Caenorhabditis elegans: one gene and its partners. The protein of the gene in region 4 interacts with the protein of the main gene of each other region in a pairwise test. Each region holds a gene or a part of one and is shown on either strand. Other genes may lie near its edges. The genes, in order: ife-1, asd-2, shw-3 and mxt-1.

Region 1 (5,465 bases), on a different chromosome or scaffold from region 4:
CTATTTTAGCAGAAAAATGAAAATAAAACGAAAAAGTTCGCTAATTCAGTAAAAATCCGTCAAAATTCCAAAAACTACAATAAAATAATTTTTCACGCGCCGAGACTCTTCTTAATAAATCAGTGCGCCTTTAATATGATGAAATTACAATATATTTTACCTCGAAGATATCAATATCTCCAATCTTGAGCCCACTCTTCTTGAGAACTTCCCGAATAGCTGGAGCCGGTCCGATTCCCATGATGGTTGGATCACAACCGACAGCAGAATAGGCAACAACTCGAGCCAACGGTTTCAGATTCTTCGACTTCACACTGTCTTCACCGGCAACCACAAGAGCAGCGGCTCCGTCAGAAATTCCAGACGCATTTCCTGCATTCACTAGTCCGTCTTTTTGGAAAACAGGCTTCAGCTTGGCAAGGCTTTCTGCGGTGGTGGCTCTCGGATGCTCGTCGATTTCGAAGCTTTCTTCTCCCTTGCGCCCCTTGATAGTGATTCCAACGATTTCATTCTTGTAGACACCAGCCTCCTGAGCCTTCTTCCACAGGGTCTGAGATCTCAGAGCGAATTCGTCGGCTTCTTGTCTGGTAACTTTGTATTGTGCGCCCAACTTCTCTGCAGTCTGTCCCATGGCTAACTTGGCATACGGATCGCTGAGAGAATCCCAGAGCATATCTTCGAATTCGTACTTCTTTCCAAGTGCAGTTCCGAAACGAATATCTCGAACAGCGAATGGCACCATTGACATGTTTTCGGTTCCTCCGGCAAGAACAATGTTGGACTCGCCGAGCTTGATAGCTTGAGCTGCATTCACGACTGCTTGGAATCCCGAACCACAGAGACGGTTGACAGTGAGGGCCCCGACGTTTTGTGGAACTCCAGATTTGAGTCCAATGTGACGACTCAGGTAAATTCCATCACGAGAGCTGGCAACCACGTTTCCTGAAATTAGAGGTTTTCTTTAAATCATTCTAAAAATAAAATCTTTCTACCAAAGATGACATGATCGACGGCATCTGCTCCAACATTAGCGTGCTTCAGCGCTGCTTGAGAAGCGACGACTCCCAAATCAGTTGCACTCAATCCTTTCAGCTTTCCACCAAAAGTTCCGAATGCTGTACGCTTGGCACCGACGATGAACACACCTGCAGACATAATATAAACATCACTGATCACTTATTAGTACAACGACCATGGACTTTGACCCCCACTCACATTTTCCTGCCATTTTGCAGTGTATTTGTGTGGTTCTGTAAATAAAAACGTTCTTATAAGTAGTAACAAATTATTAGGAAGAGGTGAAAAAACCTAAAAAAAAGGGCATTTAGAAAACTGCATAATTATTTTGAGAGGGGCTTTTGAACAAAAATAAAGTTTTTCGGTTGTTTGTTGGGCCGATAAGATAGGTAGAGAAGAGACGCAGAGACGAAAAAGAAGCAGAATGGCCGACTTTCGCGGTGTCTTTTTTATCATCATTCCCGCTACTTGTTCTCTGACCTAAAGGCTACATTCTACACTACAATAAGATACAAAATTGGGCCTGGAAACCACAAGGCAATATAATACAATTAATTTTCATCAATTTTATTAAACCAATCACAAAACAACGAGTGAAATACTAGCCAAGCAACGGGTGTAATTAAAAAACAAGTAGAGCAGATACAAAATGGTCTGCTTTAGACGGCGGATTTCTCGGCGACTGGAGCATCGGACGAGTGCAATGAAAGCTTGGCTTTCACAACCGAGCTGGTCTTCTTCTGGCAGCTCTCATGATCTTCGTAGCGGATCACATCGAACAGTGGCTTTGAGTGGTCCTTGGATGCGGCCATCAGCTTCTCCTTCAGCACAACTCTGAAATTCCAAAATTCAAGATAGAATTAAAAATAGACATGCATACCCAATCCTCATGTTGGTTTCATCATCGTTGCAATCCTTAGTCCAGACGCTGATCTTCGATCCTTTTCCTCTGACGTTGCACACCAACCCACAAATCGACTCCATGTCCTTTCCGAATTGCTCGCCGACCAAAGCCATGAGAATCTCCAGCCAAATAGCATCGACCATTTCGGGAGTCTTTCCCTTGTCAATGACGATGAGCCAGCGTCCTCCGTTCGAGTTTTCCGGAACCTCCCACATCGGCTGAATATCGTCACGGAAAACGTTGTAATCGCACAACGCGTTGAGGCCACTTGGTGGACGGATAGCATCGTAGAGAGCCCAGAACTCCGAGACGGTGTTGAAGGTGTACACCTTCTTCAGACGATCCTCCCAAGACTTGTTGCGCTCATCGTTCAAATACCACCACGTCCAGTTACGCTTCAGCGGATAAATGGGTGCCGTCGTTTGCTCCGTTTCAGTCATACCTGGAAGAACTCGATTAGTAAAATCAGTAAACAGAGAGAATAAATGAATGCAAATAAAAATGGGCACGTGGAACCAAAAAAGTGATGCAAAACGGCGAGAAACAGTTTTTTTGTGAATAATTTATAGTACTCAAACGATAATGAAAAAGGGAATGGCTCACCTTCTTTCTCCCCAGAGATTTTCAGCTTCTCAAATGCTATTTCAGAATCTGACATTTGCGCTTAAAATTTTCGCACCTCGACAACTGGCAAGGCAAAAACAGGACTGATCTGAGAAGCCGAGAACAACTGGGGAAAACGCCAACTAATCGTGCCCTAAATGACGTGCCATTGAAATATGGAGCGGGTCAGTAAAAAAATTCACGGGGAAAATAGGAAATGGTGGAATATAGTACAACAATTTTAAAAAGAGATTTAGAAATTATCGATGATGAATCAAGGTAAATACACAAATGAAGAAATAAAATGAGAACCCGTAGAAAAAAAAAGCGAAGAAAAACAATCTAGTTGTCGTAGTCATCGTCGGTTGGAGCCAAAGAGCCCTCTGATGGTCCTCCAAACATTTGTGCGTTTGCGGCTGCTACCGCCGCGGCTTGTGCTTGTTGGTGAGCAAGCTGCTGCTCAATTTCTTGTTGGCGTGCCTGTAAAATAAATATTAACATTGAGGAAATGAGTGTTTGTTTTATAAAAACAAAATTATTTTTGAAAACCTCAAAAAATTACCTTCTGAATTAATTCTTGTTGCATTTCGTACAATTTTTCCTCTGGAATACCACATTTTTCAAGACGAGAGTTCTTCCTTCGCAGCTTCTTCTCGGCTTCAACCTTGCAGGCATCGAGAACACTGTCGGCGGCCTCGAGATAATCTGGTGTGAATCCTAAATTCTGCAGTGCCTTCTGAACATGTTCGTGATATATTGTTTTTCTCTGATCCTGGCTCGCAATTCGTTGTGCTTCTCTCGCAATATGCTTCACGAACTCAACGCAGCAAGCATTGATCATATCTCTCGACTCGTTGGCGATTCGCATTTCAGGAACAACTTCTTTGATAATTTGGTTGATACCTTTCTGTGGAAGTCCGATTTCATTGTCCTCATCCATATCTGTGAAGAGTCTGAAAATTGTGTTGAAGCACTGCATTTTTAAGGGATCTAAAAGAGATATAAGGAATGAGAAATACATTATTAAAAGTTTAAAGATGAAATAAAATTAATATCAAACTGAGTACATTTATGCGAATATAAATATAATATTTTCGGAACAAATCTCACAAAATTCACAGAATTATCCAATTTTAGCATTGCTGAAGTCCATTTCAGGATGCTGTTTCATGAACTGTTGCAGCATATCATGCTTTTTCTTCTCATCAGACGTTGGAAGACCCATCTCCTTCTGCCTCTGATCATACATCATCTTTTCGACCATGGCACGTGTCTCTCCATCCAAGTCGCTCAATTTCGAGTTCTCTGGCTTCACTTCCTTAGTATTGATTGGAGGATCGGAATCAAGGAATCGATTCCACCATTCCATATCATTGATCTTCTCGAGAGTTAGGACAATCGCTTTCCCGTTTTCGATTACCCAGTTGCAATTTTCTACTTTAATGGCGTGAGGCAACTTTCCATCGACAATCGGAGCTTGATTCTTCAGGCCGACAGATACTGAAGTCTTCTCTATTTTGACGACAACGTCACGAGATTTGATAGCAAATCCAGCAGCAATTGGAATCTTCACCTCGAGTTCTTGGAGTGTTTGAGTCCATTGATATTTGGCAAGATCCGCACCATTTCCACTATTTGGTTTCATGAGCTTACTGTCCTCATCTTCGACTTCAGCGTCTTTCGATGTTTCTCCTTCGTTATCGACGAATTTTTCAAGATTTTCAACAGAATTTTTAGCCTGTTCCTTTTCAAACGCGGCCGCTTCCTCATCAGTGACTTCCACGACTTTCGCATTTCGGAACTCTTCCTCTTCCTTAGCTTTTTGTGCAGCTCTTCGTTCAGCAAGCTTCCTCTCCTGCTCTTCCTTCCGTTTCTTGGCTTCTTCAGCTTCCTTCATAGCCTTTCCACCGTGTTTATCGAATTTTTCGAGGAGAAGGGTCCGGGCTTGATCGACACCAGCGCCACTGTAGAAATCCGTCTTTCTGAAACAAAACATGTATTTATTAAGCACTTTGAAAAAATTTCTTACCTCGAAAGAAATTCAAATAGTACATCAAGCATTTCAGGCACTCCGCCGCTCAGCTGTTGGGCCATGGAGAGCAGCACCGAGTCGAATCGCTCATATTGAGACATTTTCTGAAATTTAAATATATTAATTAATAAAAACTACTTCCAAAACGAAGAAAAACATTAGGAAATCCGGAATTATTGAAAATAGAGCCTAAAATCAAGAAACATAGTTATTTCGCAATAATTACAGGACAAATTCTACTTAATCTAGTTAAAAACTTATTTTACAAACTAGAAAACCATTTATTTTGACAAATATCACTAGAAAAATTGAGTTATTTCGAAATTTCTGGTAAATCCTATTTTCGCCATGTTCCCATGGATACTGCAAGTGCCTGGGGAAAGCAGGTGGCTCATAATGCTCAATTATATTTCTGGGACAATGAGAATAGTTGAAAAATCAAAGAAAATCTGTGCGAAATCCCGCAAAATCGATAAATTAGGAGAGAAAATGTGTAAAATTGAAAATAAATTGCGAGCGCCGTTTTTTCTAGGCGCCTTGGCGCGGCGACTGGCGCAACTCTCGTGCTGACGCGAAACTCGATGCTACAGTAGTTTGATTTGAAATTTAAAAATTCAAATTTGAATTCAAAGTAATTTTCAGAAAAAAAAAGCAATAAGTTACCTAGTGCATTACTATTTCTCCCGTTAAAGAGAAAAACGGGTCTAATTGAAGAACAGATGGTGCTAATCAAAGAGAAAAATGCACACGCTTAGAAATTGGATTTTTCGAGACCTTTTCCATTTTGAAACTTTCTATTGATAATAAATCCAACTTAAATATTGATTAAGTTCACTTTTCCATTTACAAATTATTCCAAAAAAGACAGAAAAGCCATTACGTATGCTTAATTGCTTTTTTCTAATTAGA
Region 2 (6,971 bases), 6.0 Mb from region 4:
GAATTATCTAGACGGATGTTTTCGTGTTTACATTTTTGGAAGATATTCTATAGTGTTTTATCAGAAGATTTCGGAAAAAAAAATAAATTGTGAATATTTTTTTCCTAATTTTTTTAATGTTCAGTTTGAAAAAGCTACAATAAAAGAAAATAATACTCCAAGCTTTAAAGAGAATCTGAATTTAAAAAAAGGAAGAATTGATAACAAGAAGCTTTGGCACATTTTAATATAATTATTCGAATGAAGATCTTATCGGAATTAGAAGAAAATCGTGTTTTTTAACGCAAGATGAATATATCATTTATTCGGTTGTTGTGATCATTTTCAACATTGCCGCCGTCATCTCTCCATTGCAGTGCCGCAGTCGCACAAGGATTGGCGCGCGCATCCGTCGGCTCTTCCGGATACCGGAAGTGTCTTCCAAAGAGACATAGAGACATATACACTTAGGATTTTACTGCTTGGTGTGACAAAATTTAAAAAATAAGATGATGTAAACGGATCGAAAAATGGAACAAGTGTTCCAGTAGAAGCGTTCGAAAGGGGATGAGCACGAGTTGTTCAAAGAAAAATTAAAAAATGTTATTTTTTAAAAATCATTTGAAGAAAGACTGAATGATAATATTCAGAAAATATGAACATTCTTGAAAACGAATCCATTTTTGACGTGAAAACATTTGAAAACATAATTATTGATTTCAACGTACACAAGGGAAGATCAATAAACCACGATTATAAAATCTTGCGAAGACAATCATTTTAAACTTCTACGAGTTTTGAAGTCTTCCAACTTGCACAAAATGGGTGCAAAATCATCAAAAAAGGCGAAAATCTCGCCACCAGCGGATCGATATTATACAAAAGTCGATATTGAATCTGGTCCCGCCGTTGTTGCAAAGTCTCAAGATTTCATATTGGAAGTGCCGGTCATTCCAGAAACATGCGAAGAATCGATTCCCGATTCAAGAATCTCTCGTGATGTCTCCGAAGTCTCACGTGTGTCTTCTGGAAGTGAGGTGGATGTTACCGGAAGTGGCGTTGACGATGAACATCTTGATATACAATCCAGTGATGATAGTGTTGAGTCGATATTTGATCCATTGTTATATCTTGCCAATCAGGGAATTGATGTAACTCATTCCAATATAAGGGAACTTGTATGCTCGGAAAACTATCGAGAATTTTTGAAACAGCGTAAAACCATGCTTACACCAAAGGAACTTTTCGAACTCGAACATGGAAGAATTCCTGGGAATTATGGTAAATCAAAACCAAAAGAAGAGATTTTGAAGGAAATTGATGAACTTGAATGTAAAGCTGATGATTTATTAACTGATTTGAGTGATGATGAAAATGGATGGCCAAAGTATGATATGAATGCTCTTCTTGAAAAATATGAAAATCACAAAGACTCGGAGCCCAATTTATTGATTCCAACAAAGGAGGATTATGAAAGAGATAGTGAGTTTCAGTTTATTTCATCGCAAGTATCGTTATTTTATTTCAGAAAAAACCTGCTGTCAGCAAGTTCTGAATAGCTACGAGTTTGACATGGTAGAGTCTTCAATCAATGGTCATGGGTTGGAATTCGAATGTCTGGTAAGTGAAATTATAATTAATAAATGCACTATAACTCTTTCAGGGCCCTGACGCAACTCGAACACAAGATTTTTGGACTCAGTGCCATAAAGATCGCATCAGCTTGATTACAATGTTTGGAAAGTTTTTGGAGAAACGAGGGGCCAACTGTAAGCAATATATTCCTGACGATAAACAAGAGATTCTCAAATGTGGACAGATAATTGTACGACGATTGACAGATCCAGAATATCCATATCGACATTGCAAAATTCAAAAGTTTGCAGTAAGATGCAAACTAGTGTAAGTTAATGTGTTCAGATTACTAATACTGATTTGATTTTAACTTTTAGACCAGAAAATTATGGTTGGTATGTTGTTTGGCACTGTCAACGAGATATTCAAGAATATCCATCAAAAGATTATACAAAAGAAGATGAAGAGTTTGAGAATCTTCGAAAAGATCTTTTGAATGATATGGTAAGCTTTTATCAAAAAATAAATAATAAATCTTATATTTTTAAAGCCAACTCAACACTGGCTTTTTCATGGTCCAATGCAGTTCAGTCCTCTCCGGGATAGACTTGTGGAGCGTAATTCATATCTCATTGAAAAGAAAGGATCCAGTGTTCCAGATTTCGTGACACAACCTATTCAGGCGGCCAACGCTAGGTTTGATTTCGATACCGTGAAATGAAAATCGAACATTCTTTATAGAAAGGCTCTCTACGAAAAATCTTGCTATTTGGGTTTCCTGACCTCTTCATCATCTCAGATCTCACTGTCTGGATGCCAATCAAGACAAATTGGCGGAGCTGACGAAGTTGAAAATCTCGTTAAACTGGAAACCGAGGAATTTGATCTACAGAAATCGCTCGGCTCATATCCAATTCAATCTCAAAACCGTCTGAATAATGTCATTCAAATTTATGCCAACAGTCCAGATCCAGAACAGACACAAGACTTTTGGCAAATGATTCTACATAAAGGAATTCCAACAATTCACACTATATCTGATTTAGACCCGGGTAAAATTTTAAACCTCAGATTTCAAAAAAAAATTAAATTTCAGAAGAAACTGCAAACTGTGCTTCCTATTTTCCCTACGGCAGTGAAAGTGAGAAATCATGCGGAATTTATACTGTTAAACGACTCGGAATTGAGACTCAATTATCGATGAACCTGAAGAAACAGCAACTTCTGATTTTCAAGATGGGAGAGTCTGAGTATCAAAATGTTGTTAATGTAACTCATTTCCACGAAATCGTCAAGAATCAGGTTACTGATTCGAAAGTTAGAAACATCGAAATAATCAATGAGCATGTATCACGTCAGGTTTGAATGATTCATTTATTTGAATTTATAACCATATCCTTTTTAGTCAAATCCTCAACTTCTGATTCATGGTCCCTAAGAAAACAACGCAAAGAGTTAATATTGAATACGGTATTCTAGATTTTTATGGAATTTTAATAAAGTGATATGGCTTTATTATTTTTGAACTGAAAGCATTGACCTTAAAAAAGAATAAGAGGGAGAATTGAAAATGTGAACAAACTCCAAACTTGCAAGTAAATACATCGAAGTGATGGTGAAAGGAGGAGAACATAATTACATACTTTGTCGGTATTTCTCTGACGGTCTCTCCAGTGAAGTCTGCACTATTTCGTTATTGCCCGATATTAACACCCGTGGTTACCCACATTCATCGATGTTAAAAAGTAGAGGAAAGAAGAATTCAATGGGAACTGGTTCAGATTTAAGAGATTACTGTAGGATTATAAAGCTCCGAACAAAGTAGGTAAAGGGGAAGAGGACCGAAAATAAAAACAATAAAAGGTAACATTTGTAAAAGGAAATTGAAGGATGGCCTTATGAATGCACCTTATGAATGCACCAATTTTCCGGTACATTGCTTGCATGATGGAATAATAGAATTGTCCGAGACACGAGAATAAAATTGGTGAAAGGATATTGGAAGAACTTTTCTCAAGTTAATGGTTTTCTACTTATTTACAGTTAAATACAAATTTTTAAAAGAAATAACAGCTTACCTGACAGCTCCTAGCACTTGAAGAATCGATTGGGTGGCGTGAAGACAGGAATACGGCTGGAAATTAAACATTTAAAACTGGAGTCATTTTTGAATTAATAAAAATCTATAAAGATAAAGTGAGCTAAGAAGCATAAGGTGTTTTATTTGCGAATAAACAAATGAGAAGAAACCGAATCGGCTGGATGGCAAGTTACGTAACACCTAGGCAGTCGGCATACACTTTCATTTTTCAAATGTATTGCAATGAGAAGGTCATCGTTGGAATGCGGCACTAAAAGAAATAAGAGGCAAGAATATTGAAAGCATACTTTCAATGAATGAATATTTTCCAATGGCAAGGTTTTTTAAATTTCAGTATTTTTCAAATAACTGACTGAAATTGTCCACATTGACAGAAATTATTTTGAATGTGATATCACTTGTTGCTTCGATTTGAGAAGCTCAGATTGTTTGGAAAAATAAGTTCATCGATATTTATAAGCTACCTCGTGTAAAAATGAAAATCTTCTCTTACTGGGGTGAGAGTTGCACCTCAAAAATATGAATAATTCTTGGAAAAATTGACACGAAAGTATTTTGGATAGGGTATTGGAAGGGTAAAGAGTATTAAGAAAATTTATTGGAAAAATTGAAAGTTTAGAATTGCTCAATCTGAATTAAGATTATATTAGAGAAAGAAAACGAGATGTGGGTTTTCCAGAAATTCGAGGAATAACAAGAGAATTTGGCAAATCCGCGAATCGAATTAAATATTAATTAGGGTTCGCATTTTCAGATTTTCAGAAATATTTTGAGCGAAAAGATTCATGCTAAATGTATTTTCGATGTAAAACACAAGTTTTCTGGAAAAGTGCTCGTAAAAGCTGGCTTCCCTATCGTATCGGTATAAATATATGTCAACTTTACATATTTCAAATTTATTGTAAAGTTCAATAAATTTTTCCAAAAGTAATGTCTCACTGCACGGTAGAGGGAATGAAGAAAACTATGAGTCCTCTACCACCACTAAATATGAATTAATACATGCCGCGTGCAGATTTAATTATAGTCATCATCTTCATACACCCTTTCTTTTAGTATTCGAACGAGAAGCAAAGGAAGAAGGAATAAGCTTAAATGAGTGAGAAGTGGACGAAGAGAAAGAGTGAAAGACATGATGATGAGCTCAGGAAAACTTATATGACGATAGATTACGGATTAGAGAGATTTAGACGGACAGAATGACAGGCGGATCAGTTGTAACGATGCCAGGTGACCTCTTATTCTTCTTTGCCCACTTTTCCGCACCAGTTGTTGCTATTTGAGGCCATCGGGAAGCACTAAAGGACCCCGACTTTGTCTCAATTGATTGGCTCTAAATGTCGGATTTCCGTCAAGAATTTGAAAAAATGGACGCCGCAAAAAACCTTTCTAGAAAATATCATTAATTGCAAAGACTTGATGAGAAGATAATCTCTTCGGTAACTAACTATGTTCAATATGGAAAACAATCCGAATGTAATTAGAGAATAAACACTTATCCATTCGATGAGCAGCTCAATATAGAACACACGCGAATAAAAATTGGAAAATCACTGGAAAGCCATCACTGACAACATGTGTGCGCGCGTATTTTCTTCTTTTTCCATCATCCGTCTCCGTTCAATCAACACTATCTTTTCGGGGTTCCCATGATTCGTTTTATGAGGAAAAAATGAAAGCGGAAGGCAAGAAAATGGTGAAAGGAAACAGAACGATATAATTTCTAGTGACAGGTATCTGGAGAGATGTTGAGTTGATCATCTAGTTGAGTTAAATTTGTGAAAATGATTAACTTGAATGGGAACTCGAGATGTTTTTGATATTTATTCGTCGGATTATCACAAGTTTCTGCATAACTGCGGATCTATTTTGTGGACTGGAAAAAATAAATCTACTTTCGTGATAAAAATTTTATTTACAGGAGTATTTCTGCATAAATAGCAGACACACTAACGCGAGAATGTCAGACAGAATTTCTGTTGTTTTCAACTTTTTTTTTTGGAAATTTAGGCTTTCAACAAGTCAACGATGGGTCGTCGGAGGCAAAAAGCCGTTTGTTTGCAAACATTCAAGCGTCATAAAATCCTCGAAATAGCCGTCATTTGGGACAGATTTCGTGAAAAAAAAACCAAAGAAAACCAGCGAAAACAAAGGAAGAAAAAAAAACGAAAAGGAGAATTTACACGGTGACTGAAAAAGTATCGGTGAGTACTGTAATTTTTTAAATTTCGGATTCAATCTTTCGAAGATTTAGATTTATTCACATGCGAATTCGCTTAAAGGGATCGATTTTGACGTAAAAAAAAGAAAACTGAATAAAATGTACACGGCGGAGAAGGCAATTGAGATGTTAAATGTGTAATCGACGGTTGAAGAGGCGACCGGTCGACGACATGAACAGAACAATGGGCGGAGATGGGAAATACTTGGTAAATCCAAAATTGACACGAAATGAGGCAGAAACCAGAATTATATTATTTCGAAAAATACGTGTGTTCTTGACATGTTTTTTCTAGTTCTGCTGAAAAAATAAAAAAGATATTGAAGACGCCCGCTTTTATGATGCGCATTTTATGATGCGCGCCTTGTTTTTTAAAGCCTCGAACAAAAAATAGTCTATTAATTTTGTACTAGCAAATAGCTTCAGTTCTGGTGCAACCGGGATTATTGAATCAAAAGTTGCAATAACAATAAATGAATCTCGATATTTGCATATGAAATTATCTCGCACTGATTATAATTTTCATATTTTATCTTTTGAGAAGATAATTGAATTATTCCATTGCAGAAAAATCGACTCGAGACCCGATTTGGGGGTCGGTGAGCGAATATGGCCCGAAAACCATTTGTTTTTTGGAGAAATTAATTTTATTTTTTTAAAAGAAAATGTGTTGCTTACTCGTACTTTCTTTGAAAGGTTTTACTAAATAAAGAAATAATTTGAAAAATAGATAAACAAAGAACTGATATTTCATGTTCAAACATTTTTCAAAAAAAAATTGATTTTTTGTTTAGCTGAGAAATCAGCTTTGAGGTTGCGTCCACGACAAGGATTGCACATAAATTGTTTGTAAGAAATAGAAGAATTTTAAAATTTCTCTGTATTTCTGTCCGAACATGTTCAAGAACCTAAAAATTGACTACAAAAAGCTATGCATTTATGTTATTGGGCGATTAGCTTTCGAATAATTAATAACTGAAGAAGATGTCAAATTCAGATATGAACCGATAAAAGGCGGAGTCCTCTCGTTGATGATTCTCTGAGAAATTTCCATTGAAGAAAGTCACGCCTACATTTACCTTTAAACATAAGCTT
Region 3 (10,086 bases), on a different chromosome or scaffold from region 4:
ATTGGTCACAACTTTTTTGAGGGAAAAAATGGCTATGAAACAACTAGATTAAGGTATGTGGCGGTGTATGGTTGTTGGATACAAGTGGTGTATTTTCCATATTCTTCCGTTGCGTTGGTCCATTGGAATTTCGAACCGGAGCATGTTTTACCTGAAAGTTTGAAATACACGAATGCCTCCCCTAGAATATTTTACTTACATGCTGAGCAACTTGATCCATTGAGAGCACTCCTCGTCTTTTCTTGGGCATCTTTGAACGAGCTTGTGTATGGGAATAGAACATGGCGAAGTTAGAGACGATGACCTTGAAATTAAAATTCAAAACTGGCAACATTAATTTGAATAATAAATGGAAAACATACTGGAACTGGCAAAGCGATTGTCAATACACCAGCGAGAGCACAAATCGAACCAATCAGGCGGCCCAGATATGTATGAGGTGTTATGTCACCATAGCCAATTGTTGTCATTGTGACGATCTGGAAATTGGAATTTTGTTCTGATGTTTCATTTTTACAAGGAAAGGTTTCATTTTACTTTCAGAATTTGTAACAAGAAATATTACGAGAATGTAAAATTCAGAGAATGCGTATTGCACAACATATTTGACGCGAAAAATATCTCGCAGCGAAAACTACAGTAAATCTTTAAATGTCTACTGTAACATGTTATTATAACACTGATGTCAATTTACAGGCTGCACTTTCGAAACGAATTTCTTTTCTAATTGTGACAACGATATTTAATTTTCCTCCTATTTTTCGTTGTTTTTTTACAATGTTTCATCAGAAAAAAAAAGTGAAAAACAATGCGACAGTAGTCATTTAAAGAACTACTGTAGTTTTCGGTGCGAGATATTCTGCGCGTCAAATATGTTGCGCAATACGCATCCTCAAAACGTAGTGTTCCCGTAATACGTTATTTCCAGACATTTAATTGTTTTTTAAAGAATGTTTAGAAGTGGGCACGCAGTACAGAAATTTTTTGGAAACTATAAAAAATAGTTTTGAAAAATTGAATCATTCATCCAACTCAAAAAATAAAAAAAAGGAGAAAGGTACTTTCAAAATATTGAGTTCAAAATTTAAAGGGCTTAACGTGAGTATAAATAGACATTCTCAACTTACCGCCCACCACAATCCAATCGGAATTGACACAAATTGATTATCTTCATTACTTTCCACCCGTTCTGCATAATACACCAGTGATGCAAATACAACAACTCCCAATACCAAAAAGAATACAAGTAGCATCAATTCCTTTGCTGATGCTCGGAAGGTGTGCATCAAAATCTTGAGTCCCGAATTATGATGAGTCAATTTGAAAAGTCTCATAATACGAATGATGGAGAAGAACTCAAGATCTGCAGTTGCTCCAAACATGCTTGATAATAAATCAATGTAGAATGTCAAAGTGGCAACAATGTCGATAATGTTCACAGGTGCACGAAGATATTCAAAACGAGATGGACATGAAGAGAATCTTGCCAGAATTTCAATCGTGAACCAAATGTTACATATTGTTTCTATGTACTGAAAAGTATAAGGAATATTAAATATTCAATCTTTCTGTATACTGTACCATAAAAGTTGGATGAGGCCTAGAATTGGCCTTATCAATGTTTATCTGTGCAGGATGTATTCGTGAAGATGTACTCCGATGATTCCGCGAAAAGTTTCCAAATGGAGCTAATTCAGGGATCCTCAAACCAGGATGGGTTTTCAGACAGAAAACAATGATGGCTGTTATCAGAAAAAATACAGAAATAGCTGCTATAAATTGTGCTGATCTAGATGAATTTGGTTCATCGAAAAGCCTCCAAATCCGAGGTTTGATCTTCTGCCAGGCACTGAGACTATCATTATGATAGTCATCCTCCCAACCAAATCGTTTGTACAGTTCCTGAAAATTTCGAGTTTTAATTTTGCCAATCGTGACTTTTTTAGACCAAGCCTATTGTCAAATTGGTAAAAAATAGAATTTTTCTGACTATCTGAGAGATATCTGGCACCAATATTTACTTCTATAATAGTTACTTTAAAATCTGAAGTATAGCGAGTTTGAAACCTCGAAAAATTTGAAGTATTCCTATTATAGTGTTTTTTTTTTGAAATTTTGAAGCTTCATTTTAAACTTTAAAATGAAGCTTCAAAATTTCAAAAAAAACTATAATAGGAACACTTCAAATTTAAAACTGTGCCTTTAAAATTTAAAGGCACGGTTTTTTTCTCGGTGGGTCTCGCCACGATCTCATTCGATTACTTTTTACTCCACAATGTGCAGACATAGCAACCAAATTCACGTTGTACTTAGTATGCCGGTTTTTTTTTGATTAGGAGTCGCAAAAACTTTTATATTGCTTTGTAAAATGAATCATAATGGATAAAAAATGTTCTAAAATTCTGCATTTTTCTCTTGTTATACAAAAAGCTTACAGGTCCTTCTGTTTGATCAACTTCAATATCCAACTCGTCTAATGTTTTGAGCACATCTTGTGTATCTCTTGTACCAGATAATGTCATCCAACAGCATGGTTCGCATTCATTTGAATCAAGTCCCCAATACTAAAAAATAATGTATTTTCTTATCTTTTAACAATTATCTTCTTACCTTTAACTCCTCTTCAAATAATGGTCCACACACGTCAAGAGGATAATGCAATTTGCCCGTTCTTAAACTCAAAAAAATTATCGAAAATGCGATTTGTGCCTTGTTACCTATAATAATTTAGTATTTGCGCAAAAACTCCGGGATGTCTATCGAAAAAATACTCGTTTAAAACTGGATCATAATTGGCCAAATTTGTAGTCAACCGGGATAGTCTGAATAAAAAAAATCATGCTAGAAAGAAATATGGAATAATTGTTACTTTACCGTGTAGCTGGAATTTTCTTAAGCGTATGCTTATAGGTTTCGTGTCGAACACCACCCACGTTGAGTATGATCCGGTATTCACTGTCCATGACAGTCTGTCTGTAATTATTAGAAAATTGTTTCTGTAAGCAAATGAAAAAAAAACAACGTTAACTGACTAGTGAGCAATGTATAATTGATGTTTTTTTGGATTTCAAAAACCAAGTTTTTCAGTCAGGCCTACTAGTTAACTTTTAAGCCTTTCACTAGACGTAATTCAGTATGTTGTATATCCTTCGAAGGACGCTTAATCTCAGCTAAATATACAGAAAGTGATATCAAACTTAGAAAGCTGTTGTTGAGAAAGCAAGACGTACATAAAAATGCACATAAGCCCGAACATAATGACGGAAAACATATCACTTTGGAGTCGACTACGGTAGGAGGAGGGGGATGTTCACAAAAGTTATCCGTAATGCATCTAAATCGTAAATTTGTAAGTTTGTTTCTGGTGGCTCAAGAGATCTGGCACAAAAGCAGCATCTGGAGCGTGATGAATTGTTGTGTTGAGACCGGATAATAACAATCATAAAAGCGTGCCACCAGAGCAGAGAATGAAGGGCCAGAGGAGCAGTCTTATTTTTTGCCGCAGCCGACGCCACACAACCAACACCACCCCAGTTGGAGCCATATCTCCTATGTCTCTCCCGTCCCACCCTTCTTGCTTCCATTGTTCCCGCTCTTGTATGTTTGTGGTCCCTTCCGCTTCCTCATTAAAATTTGATCACATACGCCAAAATGAGAGACAAGACGAAAGGAGAGGCGTCGTGAGATGTATAGTTACAGATAGTTGTTAAGATTGGGAGGCTCGGTACTCGTGAAAAAGTTCCGAAAATTTTGAATTGATATGGGTAAAATAAGTTTTCTGCATTTTTCTAGTATCACTACAAAGGTTTTGAGGAAATTCTTCTAGGTAAATCCACAAAACTGCTAATTTCAGTGTGCATATCATTTTAGAGCAAAAATTTATTTTTAAATGTAGAAAAACATCTATTCGATTTGAAAAAAAAGAAGTTTGAAGTTAACCTATAATATCAAAAATATCCACAGTTAGTTTAGAAAGTAAGTTGTACGGATACTTATTGCGAGGCAGATTCCCAAGTTTACAATTTCAACAATAAACTTTCGACAATAAAACAAAAATAAATTTATTTTAGTTCTTTTGGAGGTCACGTTTTAAAAACAATTTTTTTTAAACCTACAGATTTATTTTAATAAAAATGCTCTATTAGAAAACGATTCAAATTTAAGAAAATGATTTTCATGGATAAATATTTGTTTACATTATACTCTTATAAACTCACATAACAACTCAAAACATATTTTTTGGTCGATCTTGATTATGAACATTTTTTGAGTAAGCTATTTTTCTTCGGATAATGTATAATTTTATAATTTCCTACGTCACTATTTCTATAGATTTTTGAATATGACTCCATGTGGTTCTTTGTATTTTTTCGCTCTGATCAGCTATATTTATTAAATTCTATTTTTTATTACAAAATACACCGTAAAATTGTATCAACCAGATAGAGGTGTTCAATGTTTTTGCCGGATTGTTTTTCACATTCCAAAAATACAATTAACTTCCGAAATCAGAAAACTACAATTGTACGCCTTTTGGTCTGGAAACGATTGCATTATCATTACTAAACATTTTGGCAAGAAAAAACGAAACGTTGAACTTATAAACCCCACACCCAAATACCACAAAGAAAGTCCAAATAGTCTCAAAACACGAAAAGCAAGTACCTATTGAAATTTTGATTCAAAGCAAGCAAAGCGAGAGGGAAATGTGACCGAAAATATTTCAAATCCACATTTTTCCCCAGCAACAGCCAGCTAATTCACTTTTTGTTGACTTTTCTAGCAAAAGAACTCGGTCACCTAGAAACAGTTGGACAGAAAAAGCGAACATCAACAAATTATTTTTTTGAATTGTCAAAAGTGTTGCGATGGCGGTGAAAATAGACATTCCAACAAGTGGATGATGAGCCGATCCTCTGCAGAGCAAAAAGAGAGATGAGACGAAATAAAGAGAGATTATCGTTCACGGGTAATTTGATATGTTTTGTCACATACTCTAGATTGCAGGACAACGAAATAGAGAGTAGGAAGAGGACTTCGAGAAAGGAGGAAAAAGAACAAGAAGTAGTAGTAGAAGAAGAAGGTGGTACATGGATCATGATGAGACACACAGGACACGGACAGAGAAGACTCGGCTTAATGTACGTAATTATCGATGGTGCCAACTGAAGAAAAAGGAAAAGAGTTACTTCTTGTTAGACAATTAGATGCTTGAGTTATCTTGAAAAATTTTTTGTTCATTTATATATTTTTTAGATTTCGTATCGTTTCAGGCTATTTTGATTATAATCAGTTATTCCTAATGTAAGAAAATACTCCGTTTTTTTTTGAAATTTAGCTGTGTAGCTGTTCTTCGATTTGTTTTACTCTAATTTTGGAAGAACTGGCAACTTTTTCCAACAATGCGGTTTTTTTTGAGTGATTTTAAGAATTGCTGCAGGTTTGAATGTTCTAGAATGTTCAAATACAAAAATTGAAACGCATTTAAAATTTTGAAACCAATTTTGAGTTATCTCCACTTTTTGACTGAGATTTATAACAATTTAACAAAATTTTTGCAAAATTGATTTGCAAAGTTTGAATTTTTAGGACTATACGAGCGGTTTCAAATCATTTCCCTACTCTCAATACTCCATCTTCAAATAAGAAGTTCAGATTAAAATTATATTTCTGTCCAAAGAAGTGCCTTTCTAGATTTAGTTCCAATTTTCGAGAATATTTGTGACTTGGGGTAAACAAATGATTTTTGTTGAGCAAGATTGTAACTGGTGCTGTGGCTCATATGGAGATATCATCAGAAAATACAATTTGGGTGGCCGCATTGGAGTGTGAAAAAAGGAAAAAGAGAGGAAGAGAAATAGAGAGACAGAGAGGGAGAGAATAGTGGAAAAACCGAATCATGAAGAATTTGTATGAAAAGTGAGAAGGTCAGCAGCAAATTGAGAATCTGACACTACTAGATTAGACGAAAAAGCAAAACATAGGAAATAACGTGCAGTAAGAACGAAAATTAGAATCTGAAGAAGCATTTTTTATAAGAACCTAATAGTAAGATTTTCAAGATCTCGAAGATTTTCAAGCGATACTTCCGGGCGAAAAAAGAAAATACTTGTGAGCAAATATTTATATTCATGGCTACATTTAGAATCTCTCCTAGATTCACCTCCACCCTCACTAGTCTTCCATCCCATTAATTGCTGCTCATCAAAGGACACGGAAATGTACTTTGTCACTTCTCTTTTGGAAGGTGTCGACTGAAAAAAAAAGAATGCGCATGACGAGAGTGCGGGAAAGAAAGAATAAAGGAAATGAAGGAGATGTGGGCCACCGAGGAAAGGAAGCAGTTGGTGCAAAAATGAGTGGACACACCGGATTATTACCCTTTTATTATTATTGTTATTCCAGATATTTTTGAAGAAAATGGTTTATTACTTTTGTCAGGGTAGAAGCTAAGAAAAATAAGATTTACGCGAGCAAGTTGTTAGAAAGCATCGGGGTTAAAAATCCAGCTGTAAAAAATGTTTTGAAGTTTAGATTTTAAATAGTCCAAGTTTAAGAGGTTCTTATAAAACTTTTAGAAAAATAACTGTAATTTATAACACCTTGTAAAACTATGTACCGTGTTTTCTATATTAGTATTGCAGCCCTAGGAGCAAATCGAAAGTTAGTGTTGCGCCCTCTAATACACTGACTTGTTGTAAGATCAGCCGTATTTTGCAGAAATCTTGGTAAAATTTATGAGTTTTCAGATAACGATAAACCGGTTCAGATAACTCATCGTGGGAAATAATGGTTAAAAAAATCCAAAGTATTATTTACAGTGACACATTATAATAAAAAATTATGAATTTTAAAATTGTTAAGCAAAATTCACTCAACTAGCTCACAACACTACAAACACAATTACGAACACGGCATGCAAGTTTTTAAGCCGAAAATCTAGAGTTCACAATTTTTGAATGCTGTCGCCCATTTTAGACTCACAATGATTGGCAAAAAAAGGACAATGAGCTTTGTAACCTGCCCTTTTCTCAATTTAATTTTTATTCTCTCATCTTCTTTTTTTGCAGAGAGAGAGAGAGCATCAGTATATCTAATTCATTTTCACTTTTTTTCCACTGCTCCCATTCATTTTGCAAATTGCTTTTTCATTTTTTGTTGAAATTTCTTCCTGTTTGAAACACTTACCCAAATGCGGTCGACGGACTTGTTCCATTATTGTTCCGTCGTCGAATTGACATTGACGGGGGGACGATCCAAAAATACTAAATCAAGAAGAAATGAAAAAGAGCAGAAATTGAAACGAAGAATATTTCGATCAAGAATGAAAAATTGAAGTTGTGAGACATGAAAATCAACGAAAAAACTAGGAAAAGGTGTCCTGGCAACAATTCGGAAAGAGGCCTCCGGCGACGGCAATAAATGAGAAAGCAACAAACAAGGCTTTTCAAAAAAAGTTTCTTTCTTGTGTCACCCCATTTTCTGACAAAATAACTGGGAGATTTTTTTTTAAAGGAAATGCAAAATGCAAAATATTTGTTCAAAGTTGAATCTGTCATTCGGCATTTTGCAAAATGTGTTCAAGCTATAATTTTTGTAAAATGGAAAAATTGAACGTCTGAGTTTCGATAATTGTTTTAGTGGTCAGATGCTGTTTCACAGGATATCAATTTCAGTGTCTCAGAACACTTTTGCTATTAAAAGTTGATATATTTTGAGGAAAATTCCCGGAAACGGGGGAAATGTTTTACCAGGCAAGTTTTAGGTTTATTGAAAAAGCAAGTTAGAATTTTAACCTACAGAGAACAATTTTTTAGTAACATCTTCACTTCTAATTTTATAATCTTTTACCGTATATCTTCTATTAGTTTGGCCTCCCTATTAGACTGGCACTCCCTATTAGTATTGCCCTTCAAAGACCTTCCGAAAATTAGTATTGCATTCCCTATTAGTGTTGCACTCCCTAATAGTCTTGCACCTACTTTTTTTTGGTGCAAACCCTCCTTACTAATTTTAAGATTTTAATAACATTTTTTGAATATTTTGCAACAATTTATAAGAAAATTTTTATGAGATTGAAGTTATTGTACCTTTTTGTTGCAATTTCAATCAAATTTTCTATATTTCCAAATTAAAGTTGGAGTTTTTTCAAGTAAATACTAGTAAGCCCCAACACAGAAAAATGTTCTGAAAAATAGTATTTCACTCCCTATTAGTCTTGCACTCCCTAATAGTATTGCAAGCGGGAAGACCTTCGAAAAATAGTATTGCAGCCATATTAATAGAAGAAATACGGTAAATTTTTAAACTTTGGAAACGAACGAGAAAACGTCGAAACTTTTAGCTTGAGGTTATCATTTTCAGTCGAGGTTTTGAAGAATACTAATTTTTTGTTAAATTTATTTCTATAGACAAAAATAATAAAAAAATATTGCTTAATTTCCCAAAACGAAAGTTCAATTTAATGCAAAATCAAAAACAAGCTTGAACATAGCGATACATTTTAATAATCAGCTAATAAAATTTTTATTTTGGAAGTGACTGCGAATAACAAAAGTGCAAGAGAGTGTTGAATATGTATATATCATATTAATTTGTCAACTAGTCTCAAAAAATATCTTATTATCAAAATTATGACGTTTTTATGACAGCAAAGTACGTGGGAAACTTTAAAACTAGAAAGCAAGCACCTAAAAATATATGTGAATTAAAATGAACAGTGATCTTAAAGCGGAAAAAGAGAAAACCGAGAACTGAGATATATCTAATGAATCGAGTAAAATGTATAATTTGGGTGGGTTTCAGTTGACAAATTCTTAGATGAGAAGGATGTATCAGTGCTTTCACCAAAAAAAGAATGAAAGAAGAGGAGGAGCAAGCGGTGGAGATATGTGTGCGAATGTGAATGTGAATAAATTTGATTAATTGGCACGAGAAAGTCAGCTATTCGGTCGCCATCGTCGCAAGCACTTCAGATCAAAACGGACACGGAGAAGAGCTGGAAGTGACAAGCACTTTTGGAAATGTACTTTTCTGTTTCTTTACTTTTATTTTCTTCATTGAGAGTTTCGAAAAGCTGGAGACATAGAAAACAGTAAATTGATTGATATACAGGTATGCAATTGTTTTACAGGATTCGTCTTTATTTATAGTTGATTGTTAGTTGGCAAATGATTAGTTCAAGAAAGTTAACAATTTTTGTTTCTGAAATTATTTTATAGCATCAGCTTAAAGTTCAACTTATCACTCAACAATTTCATAGACCTACTGGAATCTGAAAAACGTTTTTTAATTACCAAAGTGGTATACACTAAAACTGTAATTTTTTGAAATTTTCAAAAATAATTTCGACAAAAAGATTTGTAAACTAAACTTCAAAAATGATCGTCAAATTTATTTTCATTTTTTTCGGGATGTTTTGAGTGGCATTTAGAAAATGACGCTGAAGCAAAATATTTGACAAATTTCGAAAATAATCCATGTTTTTTTTTCCAGAGAAACTAAACTGCATAAAAGCTTTACTATGAAAAATATAGGCAGTTATATAATTTAGACTTCTCAATATGATTTAAAGTGAGAAACTACATTCTGAAATTTGGAATTTTTGGAAATATAGAAATGAACAGGTATTATTTAAAAAACTAAGCTTTTTCAAAAAAATTTGTGTTACTTTTTCGTGAAATTTAGTTTGCAACACAAGTTAGTTTAATTTTGCAAAAAAAAAAGAAAAAAGAAAGCAAATTTTTTGTTTGAAGTGAGATGAGGAAAAGAAGCATGTAGAAATTAATTTCAAATATTGCTCTTGTCCGCCTTTGGCCTCTAATTTTCAACGCCAGACTATATTTTCAGTATTTTTTTTCCTTGAGCCGTTCTTTTTTCAGAGGTTCCCCATACTGACCCGAATACTAATCTTGTTTTTTTTCATTCTTTTTTCCAGCACTTTTCAGCTGTTTGGATATGATGAAAATTTGATGGTGATGAAGCAAAAACAGAAGAAACAGGAAAACGAGTTTTCTAAAAATCTCGTAGGGAAATAATTTGATAAAAGAAAGTTATACAACTGACAAAGGGAAAAACAAAAGAGAA
Region 4 (7,000 bases):
TGTGATTGTTCCAGCATCGAACCCGAAGTTTTGAGTTGAGCACAAAGTGTGAAGATCGTGTTTGCGAGTTGTGAAGTGAATTGGCTCGCACGTACCATATTGTTGATTGTGTTCATTAGCTGTAGTTGTTGGTCTGGAAAAAGTTTGGAGAGTTTTGGATTTTTGGAAAAAAAATTTCTGAAAAAAAAATGTTTTTTTGGAATTTTTTTTTGGAAAGTAATTTTTTTTTAAACTTGGATAGTTAAAAAAAACATTGTATTTTTCTAAAAAAAATTACATTTAATTTTCCGTTTTTATATTACTATTTTCAAATAAACGTTAACAATTCAGATTTAATAATTGATTTTAAAACAATTTGGTACTTGTGTATTATTTCCCCTCATTTTTAAATATAATTTTTTAAATAAAAACGTGTGGAGTTTTTGTATTTTTAGTCTTAGCAAATAACCATTTCTAAGCCTAAGAAGGGAAACTGGACATCACGCTATATTAAAATGGATAATAATAAAACGAGGGGAAATAATACACAAGTACCAAAAATTTAAAAACATTTCAGAACTTTTCAATATTCACTTTTAGTTTGAAAAGTTTTTCTTTACTTTTAATCATATTTTAAAATAAATTGATTGTGCAAATTTTTTAACTATAAAGTTTTTAAAATTTCAGTATTTAAGCTGAATTAATTTGACATTTCTAGCTAATTTGAATAAATACTGGATTTTTAAAATAAAATTTACTTTTGAAAATTAAACAAATATTTAAAGTATGTAGTATGTGGTGTGTTTTTTGTTCGCATAGATTTGAAAATAAATCAAATAAATAATTTAAAAAGTATATTATTTAATTTTCAAATAGCAATATCAATTTTGGTATTTTATTTTGATTTTAAAAAATTCGGCACAAAAATTTTTGAAGATTTTTTTAACGCTGAAATGATTGATAGATTTTTTCTGTTGAAAAAAAAATTTAAAAAAACCAAAAAATGTCGATTTTTAATTTTTAATCAATTTTTGTGGATTCTGAACTGTATTTTACTTAAAACAATTTTTTTTAACTTGAAAATTGAAATCATTACTGAAAACTGAACAAAATACTGAAATTTTTCTGAATAATATTTTTTTTCAAATTAAATATTTTCAAATTCCCAACTCCAAACCCCTTACCTTTTTACCTCTAAAAGTTCACGAAAAGTCTCAAAAATCTCTCATTTCTCCAAAAACAAATAAATGTCTTCTCCCCCCACTTAATCCTTATCAATTTTATATCAAAAATACACGAATGAACTCTTTAACATTGTCTGCGTCTTTTCATTTCTAACAATTTCTCCTTTGTCGGCTTCTGTACAATGTTAAGTGGCGGCTCGGCGAGCCGCTTTTCAGGTATTTGCTGATCGACTTTGTAACGATGGAGGGGGAGGAAAATTGGGTTAAACATGGGTTGATTTAGATGGAAATAAATGAACTAATATTATTTTTTGATTAGTTGAGTTTTTGGCTATAAACTACAAAGTTACCTAGCACGAGGGCTTAGGCTTAGGCTTAGCCTCAGGCTTAGGTTCAGGCTTAGGCTTAAGCTTAAGCTTAGGCATAGGCTTAAGCTTAGACCTAGGCTCAGGTTTAGGCTTTGGCTTAAGCTGAAGCTTGGGCTCAGGCTTAGGCTTAGTCTTAGGCTTAGGCCTAGTCTTAGGCTTAAGCCTTATGCTGGGCTGCGGGATGGCTATTCCAGCTGATAAAACAAAAAAACTTTTCTTCTAAAAATGGATAAATCAAAAAACGGAATTTTTGGATTCATGAGAATTCTGAAAACATTGAAAAACCCGCACCCATGGCTTCAACTCTATAGTTTTTGGTTCAGTCTATCAAACTACAAACTACAAAGCTTCATAGCCTCACCCAACATATTTTCGGTTGAGGTCATTTTTTGTAGTTATAAACTCTTGTAGAATTCCCTTCCTCTACTTTCACAATCAGTATTTTACCAGAAACTTGTCGTTTTGACGAGCTAAGATGATATATGAGCTGAACGGGTGAATATGTGAGAGAGTATGTGGGATGAATAAACGCAGAGAAAGAGAAGAGCACCCGGGAGAAAAGAAAAAGTGTGTAAAAATCGAGTGCAGCTGTGAGAGAAATCTGAGTTTACGAACTGCAAAAACGCTTATGAAATCAGAAATAATCTATAAAATTGGGAACAAACTGAGGGACTACAAACTACAAAAGGGTTTCCAAAATCCCTTGATTTACCTCTAGAAAATTCTTTGAAAAATATTAACTGTATGCAAACTGGTCATACAATTTGGAGCTGAATATTTAGCTTTTAAAATTTTTAAATAATAAACAGTTTTTTTAAAATAAGTTGCACAAAAATTCAGGTTTCGCAATTTTTTATTGCAAACATTTCACAAAAAATCAGATCAGAATATTATCAGAATATTATATATTTATATTATTATTATTATATTATATAATGCCGTAATTTTTTTCAAAAAAAATCGGGCTTAACAAATTGTACATTTATTTTGAAGCTAAAATTTTTATTGTTATCGAAAAATTAAAATTATTTTTTCTAGTTTCACTATCAGTTGAAAAAAAATTCAATTCAAAACTTCCAAAAAATTATTTTTAAAAAATTAAAAAATTTCAAAATCTCATAACTTCTTCCAAAATTACCCAATTTGTACAATTACTATGTTATTTTGAAGCAAAATATTTGTTTTTTATAAAAACATTTTAATTTTATAGGAAAAATACAAAAACCAAAAAAAAAACCAGATTCACAATTAAAAAAAAAACATTTTTTTCGAGATTTCTTAAATTTTCAAAATTATCAGATTTTTTTAAATTCAAATTTTTTTATGGAAAACAATTAATTCTTACAGAAAGCTATACTTGCACAAAAAATTTACAAAAAACACATGTTTCAAAATTTTCGAAAACAATTATTTTTTTTCGAAAGTTTTCCAAATTTCAAAATATCATAACTCCTTTCAAAACCAATAGATTTTTCTAATTTTTACTTTATTTTGAAGTTTAATATATATTCTTTTAACTTTAAATTATATTTAGACTAATATATGACAATAAGTCAAAAAAAGTTTCAGTTTCAAAAGTATCAAAAAAAAACATTTTTTTTCGAATTTTTTCCAAACTTAAGTCTCTTCAAACTTGCTTAAATTTTCCAAATTTTAAGTTACTCTGAAGCTCAAACAATTATCTTTTTTATTATTACAAAAATAACTCACCAACACTCAACAAGGTGTTTCGGGGCACCTGAGGCGCGCCCTGCATTTTCCCGCCGCCAAAGTCGTCGTAGTTATGAAGCATGGTTTTTCAGATTTTGGGAATCAAAATCAATTGATTTTGATTTTAATTATTTTTTCAGATTAAAATGACAGTTTCGTGTGCAAGAAAGAATGTGTTGGCTGGTGGCAGGAGATGTTGGTGGACAGTGAAAAAGTAGAAGAAATTTTTTAGGAAATCCGAAAAAAAGTTTTTTAAAAACTTTTTTCAGAAATCCAAAAATCGTTCGTAATTTTTAAAATAAATTCGAAATATCGGCGGGACGTTAGGGGTAACGTTTTTGGGGATGAAAACGTCGTGTAACTGAACAGCACCGCCCGTGTGTTAATATCTTTGTGTTCTCCTGATTTTACACATTCTCTCGGAGATGAGCCACTCAGTTTGGCTCCGCCCATTTTTTGTTCTGTTCCTATCATCTCTGTCTCTTTTTGTTTTCCGTTTTTCTTTACAACAAAATTTGCAATGAGGGAAAGGGAAATTGAATATTAGGGGTATTTTTGAATCATTTTTTGGCACAAAAGACTGTCATTTTATCTGAAATTAATTATCAAAATTCGTTGATTTTGAGTTCCAAAAGACTTTATCGGCGGGGAAAATTAGAAACACTGGTTGGAATGTTTTGTGGTACTGAAAAAAAAGTTTTAAAAAATTGAGCTTCAAAAAAAGTTAAAAAATTTAAATTTTGGACAATTTTGAAAGGAGTTATGCTATTTTGAAAATTTCCAAAACTCGAAAAAAATTTTTTTTGGAGCTTTTGGGATTAGGTTTTTTTTAAAAAAATTTTGTTAATCAGATAATAATTTTGATTTATTATAAGAAAACATATTCAGCTTCAAAATAAATTAAAATTGGAAAAATCTGATAAGTTTAGTAAAAGTTATGAGATTTTGAAAATCGAAAAATCCCAAAAATTGGTTTTTTTTCTTTTCACCTGCAAAGTTACCTGGTTTTTTAAAATTTTGTTTTTATTTTTACGTACTTTACAACACAGTAACTCTTGCTGGAAATCAGTTGCTGAGATACTGTGTATTTTTTGGTTCAGGCTAAGATAGTTTTGTAGTTTGTAGTCTAAGCATCTCTCATCTTGCACCTCAATTTTCCATTTCGGAAAATCATTTCAGACATCATTCAAAACGGTCAGGGAGTTTCGGGTGGCACAAATTTACATAATCATTTACATATAATCAACACATTGTTATTTTTCTCTTTGTCTCTTTTTCTAAAACATATCGGAAAAGAACGAATTCCTAGAGAGACACAGATAACGAGATTGAAATTTGGAACCTGAAATTTGGATATCGAATTGCTTTCAAGTTTTTGTGAATAAAAAATTATTTCAAACCAAAATAAAACATGTATGTACAAACGAAATAAATAAATAAGTTACAAATTGCACAAAAATTGATATTTTATCAATTTCACGGCTCCGTACTAGTCGTGGAAGTTGTCTTAAAGTAGTCAAATACCCTGTGACAGTTCATTAGAAGAAGTGGAAGGAAGACCAATGCGTGGGTGGTACCTGGAATGAATTTAAAGGTTGCTGGCCTAGAAATTCAGATTTTGTGTTTTCTAGGCCACCAGTATGTATGTTAGTTCTTAGGGTTCTAAATTTGGGGTACGGTAGTACTAGCTTCAGCTGTGATTCAAATTTTCAGTAAAGCAGATCATCACAAATTTTGAAATTTTTGAAGTTGCTGGACTAGAAACCAAAAATTTTATAAATTTCTAGGCCACCAAACTATATGTGAACTCCCAGATGTTATGGAGATGTATGAGTAAAGTAGTTTGGTAGAGCTCATTTTCATTACCAAAATTTTTTTTAATTCCAAATTAGGTGGCCTAGAAAATCACATTTAGGATTTTCTAGGCCATCACCCCGCATGTCAGTTCCCAGGCCCCCTAAGACCTCCAAACTTTCTAAGTTCACTAGAGCGAATTTACACAACACTTACCAAATAAAATAACCAATACAACAGTCCTAAAACACGTTTGAACCACATAACTATCCACCAAATACAGCGAAGAAACACCCAAAAGTACGGAAACTGAAGCCTGTGTGACTGGCCAGCCGATTGTACCCAAAGTGTGACAAAATCGTGAATAAATTGCACTTTTTCCCGGAATTTGGGCTCCAGATTCTGTCATGTACGCGTAAGAGACGTGGGCGGCGAAATCTGGAAATTTTTTTAATTTTTTTTTGTAAAATTTTTAGACTTTTGCTCCCCAAGAGCTTTCAAAACAGTAGTGAAGGGTGCAGATTTTCGACGATATAATTGGAGAAGGCTACAAAAATTGGGTAGTTTATTGTTTGTAGTTTGTAGTTTATTGTTTGTAGTTTGTAGTTTATTGTTTGTAGTTAGTAGTTTAAAGTTTGTAGTTTGTAGCTTGTAGCCAAGTCTTACCAACTGAAAATCCGACACTCATTGCTACAGTAATCATTGACGTGGCATCCAGGCTGACACCAAGGAAGGACATGGTTCCGATGACTCCGAATGCGATGGAGGCGATATTTAAGCCTGCGATGTTTGACTACATAGACAACGAAGACTACAAATACTACGAATTCTACAAAACTCACCAATAATAACTGAGCAGAGTGGTTGTGGAATGAAGAGCAGTGCGACCGGAACCATGACAGCTGAAATTAGTATTTTTGTAGTTTTTAGTATTCAAGAATCATACTACAAACTACAAACTATAGTGATAAAAAAATTGTAGTTTGTAGTTTGTAGTTTACAGTTTATGCCTTACCAATAGAAATATAGATATCCTGCATAGTTTGTGGCCACATAATATCATACTCGTCTGCAATATTCCACAACGGAGAATATGTAATAATACTGTAGTTTGCATGTTTTTGGGACAGTTTTCTGCAAAAATATTTTGGTTGAGGCTCACACAGGCAAAGCGGGTACGGTCCGTTTACGGATCTTGGACCGGGAACGGACCATTAACGGGCGAACTACGGATATGAAAAGCGGGACGGACCAATTACGGGCAAACTACGGGGAATGTAAAAAATGGCCATTAAGAGGAAAAAATGGATTTTAAGAAAACAATTTTTTTTTAAATACCTATGATACCAGTTGGCTAATTCAAGAATTTTTACGTCGTTAAATGCATTATTTAGAGCAAAAACCACATTTACCGACCGAGATGGCTCTTGAGCCGTAGTTGGGCCGTTTCCGGTCCGTAGACGGTCCGTCGCCGGCCCGTAGACGGACCGTAAATGAACCGTCCCGGGCACCAAATTTTTGTTTTTGAAAATTTCAGGTTCTAGCACGGGAAAAGTGCTCAAATTAGCCAAAGGAGAGTGTAGGCACTTCAAAAACTCCATTTTCATGAAAAAATTTTTTCGTATTATCCTCCGTTTTGGTGATCATCCGTAGTTTGGCCGTAGCCGGTCCGTAGATGGTCCGTAAATTAACCGTCCCGGTCGGCAAAACTGCACTTTTTAAAACTAAACCTTGAATCAGGCAAAAAATTAGCCAACTGGCTACAATGAACCAAATAGCATTGTGGGTACTTCAAAAACTCAATTTTCATGAAAAAAAATTCCTCTGGGCAACCATTTTGTCTATCATCCGTCCAACTGGTCCGTACGCGGCCCGCAAATCGCATGCGATCTAACTGAGGCTATTAAGCATGACATTGTGTGTAAAAGAGGTTATATTAATGTAATCCTATAAACATATCAATAA

Evidence for each region.
Region 1: the proteins of mxt-1 (region 4) and ife-1 interact in a two-hybrid assay, tested with the Caenorhabditis elegans proteins (one large-scale study listed by BioGRID).
Region 2: the proteins of mxt-1 (region 4) and asd-2 interact in a two-hybrid assay, tested with the Caenorhabditis elegans proteins (one large-scale study listed by BioGRID).
Region 3: the proteins of mxt-1 (region 4) and shw-3 interact in a two-hybrid assay, tested with the Caenorhabditis elegans proteins (one large-scale study listed by BioGRID).

The regions. Positions count from the first base shown.
Region 1 is NC_003281.10:13,340,722-13,346,186, reverse strand, and holds ife-1 (eIF-4F 25 kDa subunit), read right to left. Parts: upstream 2,771-5,465; 5' UTR 2,580-2,770; coding exon 2,525-2,579; exon of another isoform or gene 2,475-2,524; intron 2,364-2,474; coding exon 1,898-2,363; intron 1,852-1,897; coding exon 1,677-1,851; 3' UTR 1,569-1,676; downstream 1-1,568. Other genes in the region: acaa-2 (3-ketoacyl-CoA thiolase, mitochondrial), read right to left, coding at 161-942, 993-1,145, 1,216-1,228; dro-1 (Protein Dr1), read right to left, coding at 2,867-3,004, 3,087-3,503; nud-1 (Nuclear migration protein nudC), read right to left, coding at 3,648-4,506, 4,554-4,657. UniProt on the Caenorhabditis elegans protein: Recognizes and binds the 7-methylguanosine-containing mRNA cap during an early step in the initiation of protein synthesis and facilitates ribosome binding by inducing the unwinding of the mRNAs secondary structures.
Region 2 is NC_003279.8:6,888,454-6,895,424, forward strand, and holds the start of asd-2 (K Homology domain-containing protein), read right to left. Parts: upstream 3,691-6,971; 5' UTR 3,633-3,690; intron 3,070-3,632; exon of another isoform or gene 2,993-3,069; coding exon of another isoform or gene 2,960-2,992; intron 2,914-2,959; coding exon of another isoform or gene 2,651-2,913; intron 2,607-2,650; coding exon of another isoform or gene 2,296-2,606; intron 2,251-2,295; coding exon of another isoform or gene 2,105-2,250; intron 2,059-2,104; coding exon of another isoform or gene 1,932-2,058; intron 1,882-1,931; coding exon of another isoform or gene 1,643-1,881; intron 1,600-1,642; coding exon of another isoform or gene 1,508-1,599; intron 1,462-1,507; coding exon of another isoform or gene 801-1,461; exon of another isoform or gene 749-800; intron 432-748; exon of another isoform or gene 291-431; intron 1-290. Other genes in the region: C48B6.4 (Tyrosine-protein phosphatase domain-containing protein), read left to right, coding at 801-1,461, 1,508-1,599, 1,643-1,881, 1,932-2,058, 2,105-2,250, 2,296-2,606, 2,651-2,913, 2,960-2,992. UniProt on the Caenorhabditis elegans protein: RNA-binding protein that binds to the 5'-NACUAAY-N(1,20)-UAAY-3' consensus sequence in pre-mRNA introns to promote alternative splicing.
Region 3 is NC_003283.11:12,973,369-12,983,454, forward strand, and holds shw-3 (BTB domain-containing protein), read right to left. Parts: upstream 7,242-10,086; coding exon 7,189-7,241; intron 2,974-7,188; coding exon 2,875-2,973; intron 2,823-2,874; coding exon 2,718-2,822; intron 2,672-2,717; coding exon 2,611-2,671; intron 2,565-2,610; coding exon 2,436-2,564; intron 2,365-2,435; exon of another isoform or gene 2,215-2,364; intron 1,903-2,214; coding exon 1,582-1,902; intron 1,533-1,581; coding exon 1,128-1,532; intron 942-1,127; exon of another isoform or gene 792-941; intron 480-791; coding exon 363-479; intron 305-362; coding exon 200-304; intron 152-199; coding exon 44-151; downstream 1-43.
Region 4 is NC_003279.8:12,840,951-12,847,950, reverse strand, and holds the start of mxt-1 (Eukaryotic translation initiation factor 4E-binding protein Mextli homolog), read right to left. Parts: upstream 3,683-7,000; 5' UTR 3,324-3,682; coding exon 3,242-3,323; intron 134-3,241; coding exon 1-133. Other genes in the region: ptr-17 (SSD domain-containing protein), read right to left, coding at 4,718-4,818, 5,252-5,473, 5,702-5,815, 5,878-5,937, 6,051-6,169. UniProt on the Caenorhabditis elegans protein: Plays a role in promoting translation.